Linked DNA regions of Lytechinus pictus. The protein of the gene in region 2 purifies or fractionates together with the protein of the main gene of each other region. This does not show direct contact. Links are inferred from orthologs where the notes say so. Each region holds a gene or a part of one and is shown on either strand. Other genes may lie near its edges.

Evidence for each region.
Region 1: the proteins of dihydrolipoyl dehydrogenase, mitochondrial-like (region 2) and dihydrolipoyllysine-residue succinyltransferase component of 2-oxoglutarate dehydrogenase complex, mitochondrial-like purify together in Homo sapiens (affinity purification with mass spectrometry; 3 studies listed by BioGRID and IntAct, counting the BioPlex papers as one, with this or other methods). This does not show direct contact. The link is inferred for Lytechinus pictus from reciprocal best matches to the Homo sapiens genes DLD and DLST.

Annotation. Positions count from the first base shown.
Region 1 is NC_087251.1:41,956,279-41,963,254, reverse strand, and holds the start of dihydrolipoyllysine-residue succinyltransferase component of 2-oxoglutarate dehydrogenase complex, mitochondrial-like, read left to right. Parts: upstream 1-3,959; coding exon 3,960-4,019; intron 4,020-5,298; coding exon 5,299-5,332; intron 5,333-6,825; coding exon 6,826-6,889; intron 6,890-6,976. UniProt on the Homo sapiens protein: Dihydrolipoamide succinyltransferase (E2) component of the 2-oxoglutarate dehydrogenase complex. The 2-oxoglutarate dehydrogenase complex catalyzes the overall conversion of 2-oxoglutarate to succinyl-CoA and CO(2).
Region 2 is NC_087247.1:3,811,353-3,818,325, reverse strand, and holds the start of dihydrolipoyl dehydrogenase, mitochondrial-like, read left to right. Parts: upstream 1-3,905; 5' UTR 3,906-4,106; coding exon 4,107-4,154; intron 4,155-6,973. UniProt on the Homo sapiens protein: Lipoamide dehydrogenase is a component of the glycine cleavage system as well as an E3 component of three alpha-ketoacid dehydrogenase complexes (pyruvate-, alpha-ketoglutarate-, and branched-chain amino acid-dehydrogenase complex).

The sequences.
Region 1 (6,976 bases), on a different chromosome or scaffold from region 2:
ATGAAGACAAGTGCAATTTTGTTTCCTTTTTGCGCACTGTCTGTGCGTATTCTGAGCTGTGCAGCTATGACTGTGCAAAGTGCGCTTGTATGCACGGACCTCTGGCACGGACTGCAGGCACTCTCGGCCCAGGGACAGTGTATGTCCGCCACGCAGTGATGAAACTGGTCCCGGCATTCCAAGGAATTAATAAAATGATGATTAATAAAACAAACTCTGCAGTAGATTTGATTACTTCATTCTAGTTATTGTCTCGCCTGCATAGCAGAGCGAGACTATAGGCGCCACTTTTCCGACGGCAACGGCGGCGTCGTCAACATTGAAATCTTAACCAAGGTCATCATAACCTGGAAAGTATATGGACCTAGTTCATGAAAGTTGGACATAAGGGTAATCAAGTATTACTGAACATCCTGCCTGAGTTTCAGGTCACATGACCAAGGTCAAAGGTCATTTAGGGTCAATGAACTTAGACCATGTTGGGGGAATCAATATCGAAATCTTAACCAAGGTTAAGTTTTTTAAATGTCATAACTTCGAAAGTATATGGACCTAGTTCATGAAACTGAGACATTAGGGTAATAATGTATCACTGGAGATCCTGCCTGAGTTTCAGGTCACATGATTAAGGTCAAAGGTCACTTAGGGTCAACAAACTTTGGCCATGTTAGGGTTTTTTGTCTCACCTGCATAGCAGAGTGAGACTATAGGCGCCGCTTTTCCGACGGCGACGGCGGCGGCGGCGTCAACACCAAATCTTAACCTGAGGTTAAGTTTTTGAAATGACAGCATAACTTAGAAAGTATATGGACCTAGTTCATGAAACTTGGCCATAAGGTTAATCAAGTATTACTGAACATCCTGCCTGAGTTTCATGTCACATGACCATGGTCAATGGTCATTTAGGGTCAATGAACTTAGACCATGTTGGGGGAATCAACATCAAAATCTTAACCTAAGGTTAAGTTTTTGAAATGTCATCATAACTTAGAAAATATATGGACCTAGTTCATGAAACTTATACATAAGGTTAATCAAGTAACACTGAACATCCTGCATGAGTTTCACGTCACATGACCAAGGTCAATGGTCATTTAGGGTCAATGAACTTTGGCCGAATTGGGGGTATCTGTAGATTTACCATCATAACTTTAAAAGTTTATGGATCTGATTCATGAAACTTGGACATAATAGTAATCAAGTATTACTGAACATCCTGTGCAAGTTTCAGGTCACATGATCAAGGTCAAAGGTCATTTAGGGTCAATGAACTTTGGTCAAATTGGGGTATTTGTTGAATTACCGCCATAACTTTGAAAGTGTGTTGGTCTAGTTCATAAAACTTGGACATAAGAGTAATGAAGTATCACTGAACATCCTTTGCGCATTTTAGGTCACATGACCAAGGTCAAAGGTCAATGAACTTTGGCCATAATGGGGGTATCTGTTGAATTACCATCATAACTTGGAAAGTTGATGGATCTTTCTCTTGAAACTTGGACATAAGAGTAATCAAGTATCACTGAACATCCTGTGCGAGTTTCAGGTCACATGATCAAGGTCAAAGGTCATGTAAGGTCAATGAACTTTGGCCACGTTGGGGGTATTTGTTGAATTACCATCATATCTCTATAAGTGTATGGGTCTAGTTCATAAAACGTGGAAATAAGAGTAACCAAGTATCACTGAACATCTTGTGCGAGTTATAGTAGTTTTCAAAATCAGCACTGCTGCTATATTGAATCGCGTGATGCAGGTGAGACGGCCAGAGGCATTCCACTTGTTTAGGGATTGTCATAACTTTAAAAGTTTATGGATCTAGTTCATGAAACTTCGACATAAGAGCAACCATGTATCCCTGAATATCATATGCGAGTTTCAGTTCACATGACCAAGGTCAAAGGTCACTTGGGGTCAACAAACTTTAGCCATGTTAGGGGTATTTGAGGAATTGTCATCATAACTTTAAAAGTTTATGGATCTAGTTCATGAAACTTGGACATAAGAGCAGCAATGTATCTCTGAATACCCTTTCAGGAGCATGGCCAAGATCAAAGGTCATTTAAAGGTTAATGACCTCTGGCATTTTGGGAGTATGTGTTGAATTGACATCATAACTTAGAAAGATTATGGATCTAGCTCATGAAACATCGACATAAGGGTAATCAAGTAGGTCATATGATCATGGTCAAAGTTCATTTCGGGTGAATGGACATATTTTATTATTATATTAGTGTTTTCTTCTATGAATAATTATTCATTAGCTGTTTTCAGAGGCAGCACTGCTGCTATATCGAATTGCGTAATGCAGGCGAGACTGCCAGAGGCATATTTGTATATTTTAGTAATGCAATCAATTTTCAAGAATAGGATACGTTTCATAAATAATTATCTCAATCATGATTTTATTCAGATATTAAGCGAGCTGTGTTTTATTTTTCTCTCCACAGATACATAATATTATTGCATGTAATTCAGGATCATGGCCGGACATTCTGAAGTTTTATTAGTGGCCTGGTCCCAAGATTTTATAATACTGCAAAGACAAAATAATGAATTAAATAGAACAAAAAATGTGAGAATAGATAAAAGTATTGAGAAAAATAAGTAAAAAAAAAAGAAATGAAATGAGGAAGGTGACCTGTGAGAGTAGTAATCTGCGATGAAATTAATTGAAGATGCAAATTTTTGAATAATATTTGTTTTATTAAAAAAAGGAATATATATCATTTATATGAATTAAATATCCACCAGCTGCTTAATTTTCAGACAAAATAAAATTACAGAGAGGTTAGAGGGAGACCATGAAGAATAATAGGTCCTATACTGCATCAATATACTGTGAATATCATATAGTTAATCATTTTTGTCTGAAATTATCTTTTTAATACTCTTTATTTATGATTCATGCCAAAAATGCTAGCATATTATGTTTATTATGTTATGAAAAATGTATTATACGAATGTTATGGATGCAGAAGAAAACAATAAATCAAATCAAATCAAATCAAATAAAAAAGTTTTCATGATTTATCTAATCTCATTTTATTCTGCATGTCATAGGCCTATTTATATGTATTTCTTAATATATATATGTGTGAAGAGTAGAGTAGAATCAAGGATGAAGCAAAGTATACACTATGTTGTAAAGCTCTCGCCTCTCGTTTTATATATATATATATTGTGTGAAAGAAATAGATGAAGAGAAATATGGTATGCGTAGCTTAAATCAAGGTTCCCCAGAGCTATCTACCCTTTGGAAAATTTGGTGATGCCGAAAAAATGTCTCTGCCGGGAATCAAACCCGGGCCCCCAGCTTTGAACAGTGCCTTAACCACTAGACCACAGAGACGGGTTAAGGCACCGGCGTTCAAAGCTGGGGGCCCGGGTTCGATTCCCGGCAGAGACATTTTTTCGGCATCACCAAATTTTCCAAAGGGTAGATAGCTCTGGGGAACCTTGATTTAAGCTACGCCTATCATATTTCTCTTCATCCATTTCTTTCACACAATATTTAAATAAAAGAGTTGCCAAAGCTGTTGTACACGTATAATTTCACACATTTATATATATATACACACTAGCTTATTTTTAAAGTAGAAATATATTGCAAATCCTAAAAATGGAGAATTATATATCAAATTAAAGGAGAAAATAAGAACACGATGGTGTAAATCATTTATCATGGAGACCGATGAAACTCAGTTATTTGATAGTATACAGTTCTCTCTCTGAATGCTTCAAACACGCAGAATTATGTCCGCGAAATTGGGGATTTTTGATGACATGCATGAGTGTACGAGAGACGTGATTGGCTCTCCCATGTCGAGCTCCACTTGCATGCAAAACCTGTTGCGAGGGTACGTTTCTCCACACTGTCACTGAATACTTCGATCACGAAATGAAAGAAAACCCAGAAGTTTATCTAGATTTGGATTTTCAAATTGATGATTTTGAAGATGAAGAGAATGATGATGAAGTTTCTAGCTCTAGTGAACAACAGAGTGACGTGGATGGAGGTAAATTAGGGGAATTACACAGGTGATGATGAGTCGGAAAATTCAACTTGCATGCCGAATCGCTACCAACTGACTTACTCACCAAAAATCCCCACTGAAAATCCTAATTTCGGTCTTAAAATTCCAGGATCTGTGCCAAATATCCAGAGCACCAAGTGAATTAGTTCAGATTTCAAAAGTGTAGTCGCAGAAAAGTACTCAGAAAAAAAAAATTGATTTTCTTCAGAGTTTACGATCTTATTTTCTTGCAAATTTAGGATGGTATCTTCAAAATTAATCCAATAAAAAGGGAAAAATTTTCTATCAAAGGTACAGCATGACCTGCTGGTGCCGCGCAGCGTTTTGAAAAATAGTACCCACTACCCAGGATATCGAGAGTTTGAAAATCAATACGCATTTTTCTGAAGCGCCGTGCCCGTGATTCTAAAAAATCCACTCAGTTACACGTCAGAACTCGACGATCCATGAAAGTAAAAACTGCTGTTTCGCTGGCCTGGCTGTCTGACTACTATGCAGTCATAAGTGGGAGACTGGACGGGCGCTGACGGGAGCGATCTTCATGTTGGGAGTCGCTCAGTACTATAGCAGTTTTAGGCAGTTGCGAGAGCGATTCCAAAGCACACGAGGGCGGAATCGCTCGTTGCTCCCGTCTATTTTCAACTCAGGTTAGATGTCAGATTCCAAGATGGATTCTCTCATGAAAAAAATTGATTTCAAGTGACATTTCTGATAATTTTCCCTTTATTTGGGTAACTCTATATGGTCATCAACTGTCACAAAATAGGGAAATATTGACGGGTACATGTAATCATATCCTAAATAGTATCAATCGTACGGGGAGCAGGGAGTAAGTATGATCGGATAGATAAGATTCTGAACAAAATAGTGGTTTGTGTCATTTCCAGTTCAGTATGTTGTATTATTTCTAAATAAAGGCCATACTCATTCATATTACTGTCTAATTATCAATACAATGAAAAAAATAATAAATAACCATTTATCTTTGGCAGGGACAGAACTAGATTTGAATCTCTGGAATACCTTTTCTATTTCCCTACATATATTTTATATTCTAATTAACTTTAGCAAAATATTGACTCTCGATATATCCATATTTATTTGTCTTACATATTTTTGTAAGTGGTGAGTAATTTTTGTTGCTGATTTTTTTGGGTAAAAACAGATCTTTATTTTTGCTTAATGTGTAGTAAAGATTTAAAACCTCTTTTCGTTTTTATTATGAAATAGTAATTATTTGTATTTATCCATATCTTTGTAGGTATGCATATCAAGGAACATCAAGTTGAATATAGGTAAGAAAATAGAACTTGCTTATCACCCAATCAAAATTTAGGTGTCCTTAGTAGTCGGGAATAGTACTGCGAGGGGGCAGTTAGGTGACCACCCCTATTTGATTTTTCAAGTAGCGATGGAAAGATGAAGAAAAGGAAAGAAAGGGGAAGGATGACTATAAAAAAAAGAAATGTCCAAGAATATAATGCCCTATTAAAGGGAAAATTCACAAAGAAAGTTTGTTGTAAAAATGATAGAAAAAAAAATAAAAATATTGTAAAAGGTTTGAGAAAAATCCACCCAAGAATACAAAATTAAATAGAATTTCAGTTATTTGATTTGTGACGTCATATGCGAGCAGCTTTCCTAAATATCGAATGGTATAACAAATCAATGAAATGTAATTTACTTCGAAAATTGAAAATAGTTTTGTTGTGACATTCAGTATATCAATAGACAAATCATTTCACACACCTTCCTAAAAAGAAAACAAAAATTAGTCGTCACAAACAATTGAAAATTTGAAATTTATGCATTTTATATTACATAACATATGGGCATTGTGGCATGTGCCTGTAATCCAAGCTGTGGGGAAGTTACAAATGGATGCAGAGGTTCGAGGTTCGAGCCCTTGTCACGTCTTTCAGATGGTGACGTTAAAGGTCTGTCCCAGACGTAAATAATCATATCTGATTGATGCACATCTGACAAAACTCAAATACACACACACATACACACACACAGCTGCTCATTTATGATGTCAGAAATACAAAACTTGAAATTCTTATAACTTCCTTAATCTTTAATGGATTTTCCTCAAACCTTCACCAGTATTTTTTATCATTTTTTCTGCTATTTTTACAACAAACTTTTCTTCAGGGTGAACTTCTCCTTTAAAGTATTATTCAATTGAGGAAAAGGCCATTGTTTTAAGCAGGGACGCGAGTGCCCTGTTTTAAGTTTGTGCTGTCCCCCAATAAAAACACCCTATCACTGCTCCTGATGGTAGGTACATGTGGTAAGTTAAAGTTCCTCAAGAAACGTAACCCTGACAAACCCATTTCCCCTCTTTTCCTCTTTTCAGAATTAATTCATATCTAGGCTTTTTGCATAAAACCTTAAATGTATGGTTCATAATTGTATTTACCTTGTTAACCATTTGCTCACCAGGCAAAAAACAACCAATTAAGAAGGTGTAAGGGAGTAGCGGCCTGTTATTATCAGGGCTTATTTAATAGTAAGCTGTGAATACCCTTCTGGTCAAGGAGGGTTCCCTGCAAAAGCAGGGGGTCCCGGCAAAAGGCCTTGAAAACATTGCTCGGTTTCAACATGTATCTCCAAACATTTGTAAATATCCCGTGTATATGTAAGTTCTTGTGTAATTTTCTTTGATTGTATTTTAACACTGTAAGTTGAAGTATAAGGGATACATTAATTAAACTGATCCTTGATTTTTTTATACAACTTATTAGCCTTTATCTTAATCTCTGTGAAAATGGTTTTATTTTTCAAGCTTCATCGGAGGGATGTCAGTGGAGGGCATATAATCAGCTTTCAAAGTATCAACAAGCTCTGAGGTATACATTTACTTCATCTCACCATCTCTCTCATCCATTCATCTTTACATTCCACCTCTTTAATTTCATCCCTGAGTAACCACACTA
Region 2 (6,973 bases):
ATCCCGTTTCAAGTCAATATACACCAAATATATTTCCTCGCACTTCGAGTTATTATTGTTTTATGTAGTCACATTCTTTTCATGACTACTTAAAGTGATTGCCCCTTTTTAAGGTCTAAATATAGAACATTTCCAGTCCGTGCTTACGTTCGGATTAGTAGATTGGTGAGATATGTCTGCTATTCATGAATTCCTATAAACAGTCCTTAAAATGTCCCTTTTTCTGGTCTGAATATCAAAAATGTTTAGCTCGCGCTTCGCGTTCGCATCATTTCGTTCGTGAAATACGTATGGTCTTAGTGAATTCCTACAAATAAGTCTTAGATTACCCCTCTTCAGGTCTAAATTTAAAAAAAATTCAGTTCGCGCTCCGCGCTTGCATTTTGATTAGTGAGATAAGTATCATGTTCATGATTACAATGACTACAAGACGTGCTTCATGTGTTTAGGTGTAATTCTAATAAAATCAGCAAGCACTTAGTTTGGATCAATATTATGTATACAAATTCTAGCTCGCGCTTTGCACTTGCATTGTTTATTTAGTGAGACAGGCACGTATCATGATTTTCAAAGATTGCGTATGATGTATCCTTTTTAGGCCTGATTATTAAAAAAATGGCACCTCGCGCTTCGCGCTATCATTATTTGATGAATGGGAAACATATCCGTTTGATGGCACAGTCCTTAACATGTCTTTATTAGGTCAGTATACGTGGCAATTGAGCGCGCTTCGCGCTCCCACTAAGTGACTCAAATTTTTTGCTGGTGCCCTCATGCCTTGACCAACGGTACGCCACTGAGTCAGAGGGTGTAAGGGAAGATCATTTGTTCATTCTTTTATATAAAAAGGTAAATTTAAGAGCATAAAAGCCACTGCCTCCTCCTGCACAAAATAAATGATGGAGGAAATGAAATGGGAGAATGTAGCCGAATCCAGGGACCAAAGCGGCCGCGGCTCCCTATGCATGCTATAGGATGCGCATAAAAAAAGTAAAAAAGGTGAGAAAAAAGAGAAAAAGAAGAAAATTAAAAATGGAAGGATGGAGAAAATATAGAAGAGAAAGTAGACAAATTAATAGGAGGAAGAATGATAGAGGAGGGGGGAACTGGCACCCGTTACTCGTTTTAAAGTCAATATATGGAACAAGTGAAGTTCGCGCTTTGCTCTTTCTTTATAATTAGTTTTGTAAAAGATAATGATGTGCGTGTTCTGGGGGCCCCGGGTAGGCGAAAAGGGGGCGCCAAAGAGAGAAAGGAATTAGAGAAAAAGAGAAGGGGAGAAAAAAGAGGAAAAGAAGAAGAGAAAGAGAAAAAAAAACGGGAAAGAAAGAGAGAAAAAAAAAGAGGAAAGGGGGCGCAAAATTGATGTTCCACCTAGGGGGGGCGAAATAAATGATGTTTTACTTACCTAGGGGCGCCGTATTGATGCTCAACATGGGGGGGGCACCGAATTGATGATCGACATTAGGGGGGGGGCGCCGAATAGATGTTCGACATAGGGGGCGCCGAATCGTTGTTCGACATAGGGGGATGCAAAATTGAGGTTTTACCTAGAGGCGCCGAATTGATGTTTAACCTAGGGGGGGGGGGGGAGGGGCGCCGAATTGATGTTTTACATAGGATGCCGGATTGATGTTCAATCTAGAGGGGAGCCGAATTGATGTTATACATAGGGTGCCAAATTGATGTTCAATCTAGAGGGGAGCGTAATTGATGTTCGACATGGGGGGGGGGGCGCAAAATTGAGGTTTTGCCGAGGGGCGCCGAATTGATGTTTGACATTTTATTTATTTATTTATTCATTTATTTGTTTATTTATTTATTTATTTATATATGAAGAGTTTAGTTGCAAAAGGGCTTAGGTCCACTTTGGACCATTCTGAGAAAAACCGTGTTTTTTATTCTCACTTACTGCAATATTCTTATGAGAAACTAAATTGTCAAGATGTACTACCCTATCATGTGAACATAAAATTGGGTATAAAAGAAATCTGTCTCCAATTTTTTCCTATAAATTGTTTTAAAAATTATTATTGTGGACCTAAGCCCTTTTGCAAGTAAACTAAAATGAATCCAATCTATTTTGATTAAAAAAGTGATTTTTCTTTGCCACTTTTTTCACGTTTTCATGTAAATTTCAAATTGTCTTTGTTTTCATCAAAGCGACTAAAAATTTAGAGGTTTTGAGTCAGAAAACAATAAAATTTATGAACAATGGTCCTAACCCCTTTTGACAAATGAGCTCTTCAGAAGAGTTTGTTTGCAAAAGGGGTTAGGTCCACTCCAAGAAAATTATTTTGTTTAATTCTCCTATATTGCATATTCTTATGCGAAACTAAATTTTCAAGATTCCCTACCATGACATCATAAAATTGTGTAGAAAAGAAATCTACCTTTATTCATATTTTTTTAAATATTATTTTCCAAAAAAATTCGGGGTGGACCTAATCCCTTTTGCAACTAAACTGAAATGGACCTAACCCCTTTTGAAAAAAAAAAGTGATTTTTCTTTGCCATTTTTGATCAATTTTAAATAGGAATTTCAACTTTTCTTTGGTATCATCTTATAGAGCTACTAAAAATCTATACATTGAGACCAAATAATCAAATTTGATGAAAAATTGACCAAACCCCTTTTGCAAGTGAGCTCTTCATATATATATATATTTTTAATTTATTAATTTATTACACATATTTAAAAAGGGTAGCCCAATCAGCAGAAACACTTGTTTTCATTGGGGCCCTTTATAAAAATACAATGTAAAATATACATGAAAATAACCACAAAGATGTATATCAGCCCAGTACAAACAGACAAAGATGACAAAACAAGACTTAAACTATATACATAGTGTACAGCAATATGTTACAAAGTAAAAATAAATGTGAACATGTAGTAATCTTAGGAAATTGAGCAAAACCAAAAAGGTGAATAAATAAAATGCATGACAAACAACAATAAATACATACATGGAAATACTGCTCGATTCTTTAACAGAATATATTAAACAAAAGAATATAGAAAATGTAAAATTGAATTTGGCTAAGCGAATTAAACTAAATGTGTAAACATTCGCACTCAGTACTTATGCATCCATAGATACAGATATAAAATATAAAATACATTTGTGTGTTCTCAAATAGACATCAACATTATCTGACATAATCTACTATACATGCCCATCAACATCAAATCAAGAAATGGCGGGGGCGCCGAATTGATGTCCGACATAGGGAGTATACCGAATTAATGTTCGACATAATATGGGGGGGGCGGAATTGATGTTTGACCTAGGGGCACCGAATTGATGTTTGTCATAGAGGGTGCTGATGTTTAACCGAGGGGGAGCCGAATTGATGTTCGATATAGGGGGCACCGAATTGATGTTCCACATAGGGTCGCCGAATTGATGTTCGACACAGATATGCCGGTATCCTATTCATAAATCACTAAATGCAGTCCTTAACAAGTTCCTTTTCTGGTCACTAGTACATTAAAAAAAAATCAGCTCGTGCTTGGCGCTCACGTTAATTCTTTAGTTGGATACACATCTTTTTCATGATTACAAAAACTGCTCGGAATGTATAATTTTCATGTCTATTACATGAAATGTCTAAAAGTTTTTAGCTCGCGATTCGCTCTCGCAACATCTCGCAGGATATCCTTTAAACAACAATAGCGCCATTATTGACCACTGAAAAAGCGAGTTCTAAAAATTCAGATTTGATTTTTTTTTCCCAAACCGACCGCTATCTCGCGGAAAAAGATAAAACCTATTAATATAATAGGATATATCTTATCAATCAGAAATCACTTCAAGTGACGGATTTGCTCAACTCAAACACACAACTACTTCACTCAGATGATAATCTCATGGTGAAAATATCCGTTTGTACCAAATGCCCATTTTGACATTGTATAGGCATGTTAAGTGCAGACCCCCACTTTTAACATATTTCAAATATTAAAAAAGACCTTCCAAATTAATTTCATGTTGTACATGAAACTTTGAATCCCATCCATATCCAGTGTCATCCCATTTTTGCAAACAGATTCAGCGCGCGCGCCATCTAGAGGTAAAATCCTTACATGTGCTAATGACAAGATGTCGCTCTTACCTGTCGTAACCCGAGCTGGACGCTGTCTTTCGACTGTAAGTTATCTGTTTTCACACGATTTCGTGTCAGAAAAACTCAACTAACTCCCCGAGAGCTGAATGTATGATCGATATTGTTATGTTGAATTATTATAATTATGTATTACATGGCAAGAGGGGGTGGTGTCGGCTGCTAAAACAAGCAAAGCTTCGATTGTATTGTGATCAATGATGGTGTGTAATTTCTTGTGCACACAAGTGAATTCGTGATTAACACGATTCAGTGATATATGTGTTCGAATAGTAAATGAGTGAATTCACCTGCTACACTGCAGCACTAAATTTATGGCATGGGCTACTACATTGGTGTACAAACTTAGTCTGCACAGCTCAATGCCCCTTGTCTATGTTGTCTGCACTCAACCAAAAAATTACACGGGGGCGGCGGGCGAATTCGCCCCGGAAAGTCCAAAAAGAGCCCCGGAAAAGGGCTAAAAACATTCACACAAGGGCGACTGCAAAACTCATAATCGCCCCCGTCAACTAGGCTTGGGAGCCAGCGCCGGGTAATCGAGTCTACCCGATTCTCTATGCCAGAGTCGGGGAGTCGACCCTGATCTCTGGAGACTCGAGTACCAAGCGGCGGCGGTTCTGAGATAAAGGGACTCAAGTCCTTGCCATGCTCTCTCATTCATGGACGAAAATCGGCCCCAGCGCTAGTCTAGTTCTAGACGATTTTAAACGAATCTGCACCGCGATACATACGTTCTATTCCGTGCGTACGCCCAGCCGAGTGTGCGCGCAAAACCGAGAACCTGTACTCCGAGGAAAAATCTACCCCAGCGCCGACTCCAAGCACTGAGATAAAATAAATGTAGAATTTGGAGCCGAGGAGTCATATACTTCGAGCAGAACGTTTCTCTGCTTGTGTGCTTTAGGCTCAGTGTGACTGCATGTGGTATGGGGATGCATCGTGTGCATTGTGTGTAGTGTGTATTTCTGTGTGTGTGACTGTAAAATGCCAGTAGAGACCACGTGCGCATGTGTTGAGCGACACTTGTGATTGTATCATGAACTGGGATTTGTGTGTGGATTGTGTGAGAAGTTTGGTGAAGGTGTAAGATTTTGGGCGACTTGATAGATGATTGCTCCCCCCCCTCCCATTTATCTAGCCCCATGTCGAGCTGCAGCCACCCATCTTGATCCTTCCCCCCAAAGCTTGTCTCTCCTCATTCCTTCTTTTCTTCCAAACTTTATTTCCCTATTATTCTTGCTAATTTCTCCTTTTACAAGTTGTAATTCACTACGAACTTCATTATAATTTTAATGAAGTGTTTATCACCTCTTGTTTGTTTTTAAATATTTTTATATCTCTGTTCAAAACAAGAGTCTCGTCTATCCCTTTAAAAAAAATCATGCTTTGATTTTTTTTCTTTCATTCTAGTCTTAAATGGGAGTCTTGCCTTATTGGAATATTGGCAAGAAGTTAATAAAAAAATGATGTTATTGTTCTGTCAGTAATAAAAGTAGAGATTCAACTATGGATATTTTTCAGTCATATTTCATTTAATCTTCGTTATTTTAATCCAAACATTCATTTTTTTTTCAATGATGTATTTCACCTTTGGCCAGTTCGCCATTTTCTTAAGTGACTGAAAACGTAGACTAGCCCCTTAATTCAGGGACATCAACCCTCGGCAATTTGTTTACATAACTTTCTTTGTCTCCGTCATGTATTGCACAATCTTGAGAAGCACATGTTTGGAAATCTGATATTCTTGTGGTGGTGGTGGGGGGGGGGGGGGTACGAGATTGCCGCCCTTTTCATTCTGTTTTGGTTTGGCTGCCACATGGCCTCTCTCACTGTGTGGAGAAATTAGGTCAGGTAAAATTTGCAAAGACGTGGATAAGTTCATTCCAATTAGAGGCTGTGCAAGGCTAGGCATTCATGATGGATGATGGAAATTGCCAGTTTACGTTCTGGTAGGCCTTTTTGTCATGAATCTGTGTAACTGATACGAACGCTTAACAATTCAATGACCTTTATGACTTATATCATTATTTTGTATGAATAATTTTAAGTCTTTTTTAAAAAGTGTCATTTAAATAACTTTCAGTCAAATATGTACGAAGGATATTTGTTCAACTTCATAACATTTGCAGGTACCTATATTGTATGATAAAATAAATTACCTCAGAATTGTACAAATTCAGAACTTTCTTTTTCTTTTACATTGTCTTTAGACACGAATACAGATCTTTCTAGATTAATTTGACAAATGGGCTATAACACTAAATAGTAAACACGCAAAGCTCACGTCAACCAAGTATCAAACATTCAAACTTGGATTAATTCATGGAGGTTCTACCTCCATGATTTAATCTGAATAGGTCTGTATTAGGTCCATGAATCAACTCAGATATCGTTCAAGCATCAAAATCCATCTATCATCACAACACTAAAATCATAAACAATCACTTCGAAGAAACAATGCGAAGGTCAAACCAGGGAAGTGTTATACTTCCCTGGTATATGCTAGCTACCGTGTATATATATACACACACACACACACAAACGCAAAAAAGCCGCGAAATAGCTCCAGAAATTGTAGCCCTGGAAAGTAGAAATTGTAGCCCTGGAAAGTGGAAAAAGAGCCCTGGAAAATGAAAAAGTAGCCCTGGAAAATTTTTAAGTTTCTCCAAAAAGAGCCCTGGAAAGAAAAAAAGTAATTTTTTGGTTGTCTGCACTTATGCATAAGTCAGATGCAGAAAAAGTTTGATTTAACAACATGTCAAACTAAAATGTCATTGATTGTCGTGTCATTGACATTGCTAATAATGGTAATGCTAGGTCACATTGCGTTTGATTTGCACAC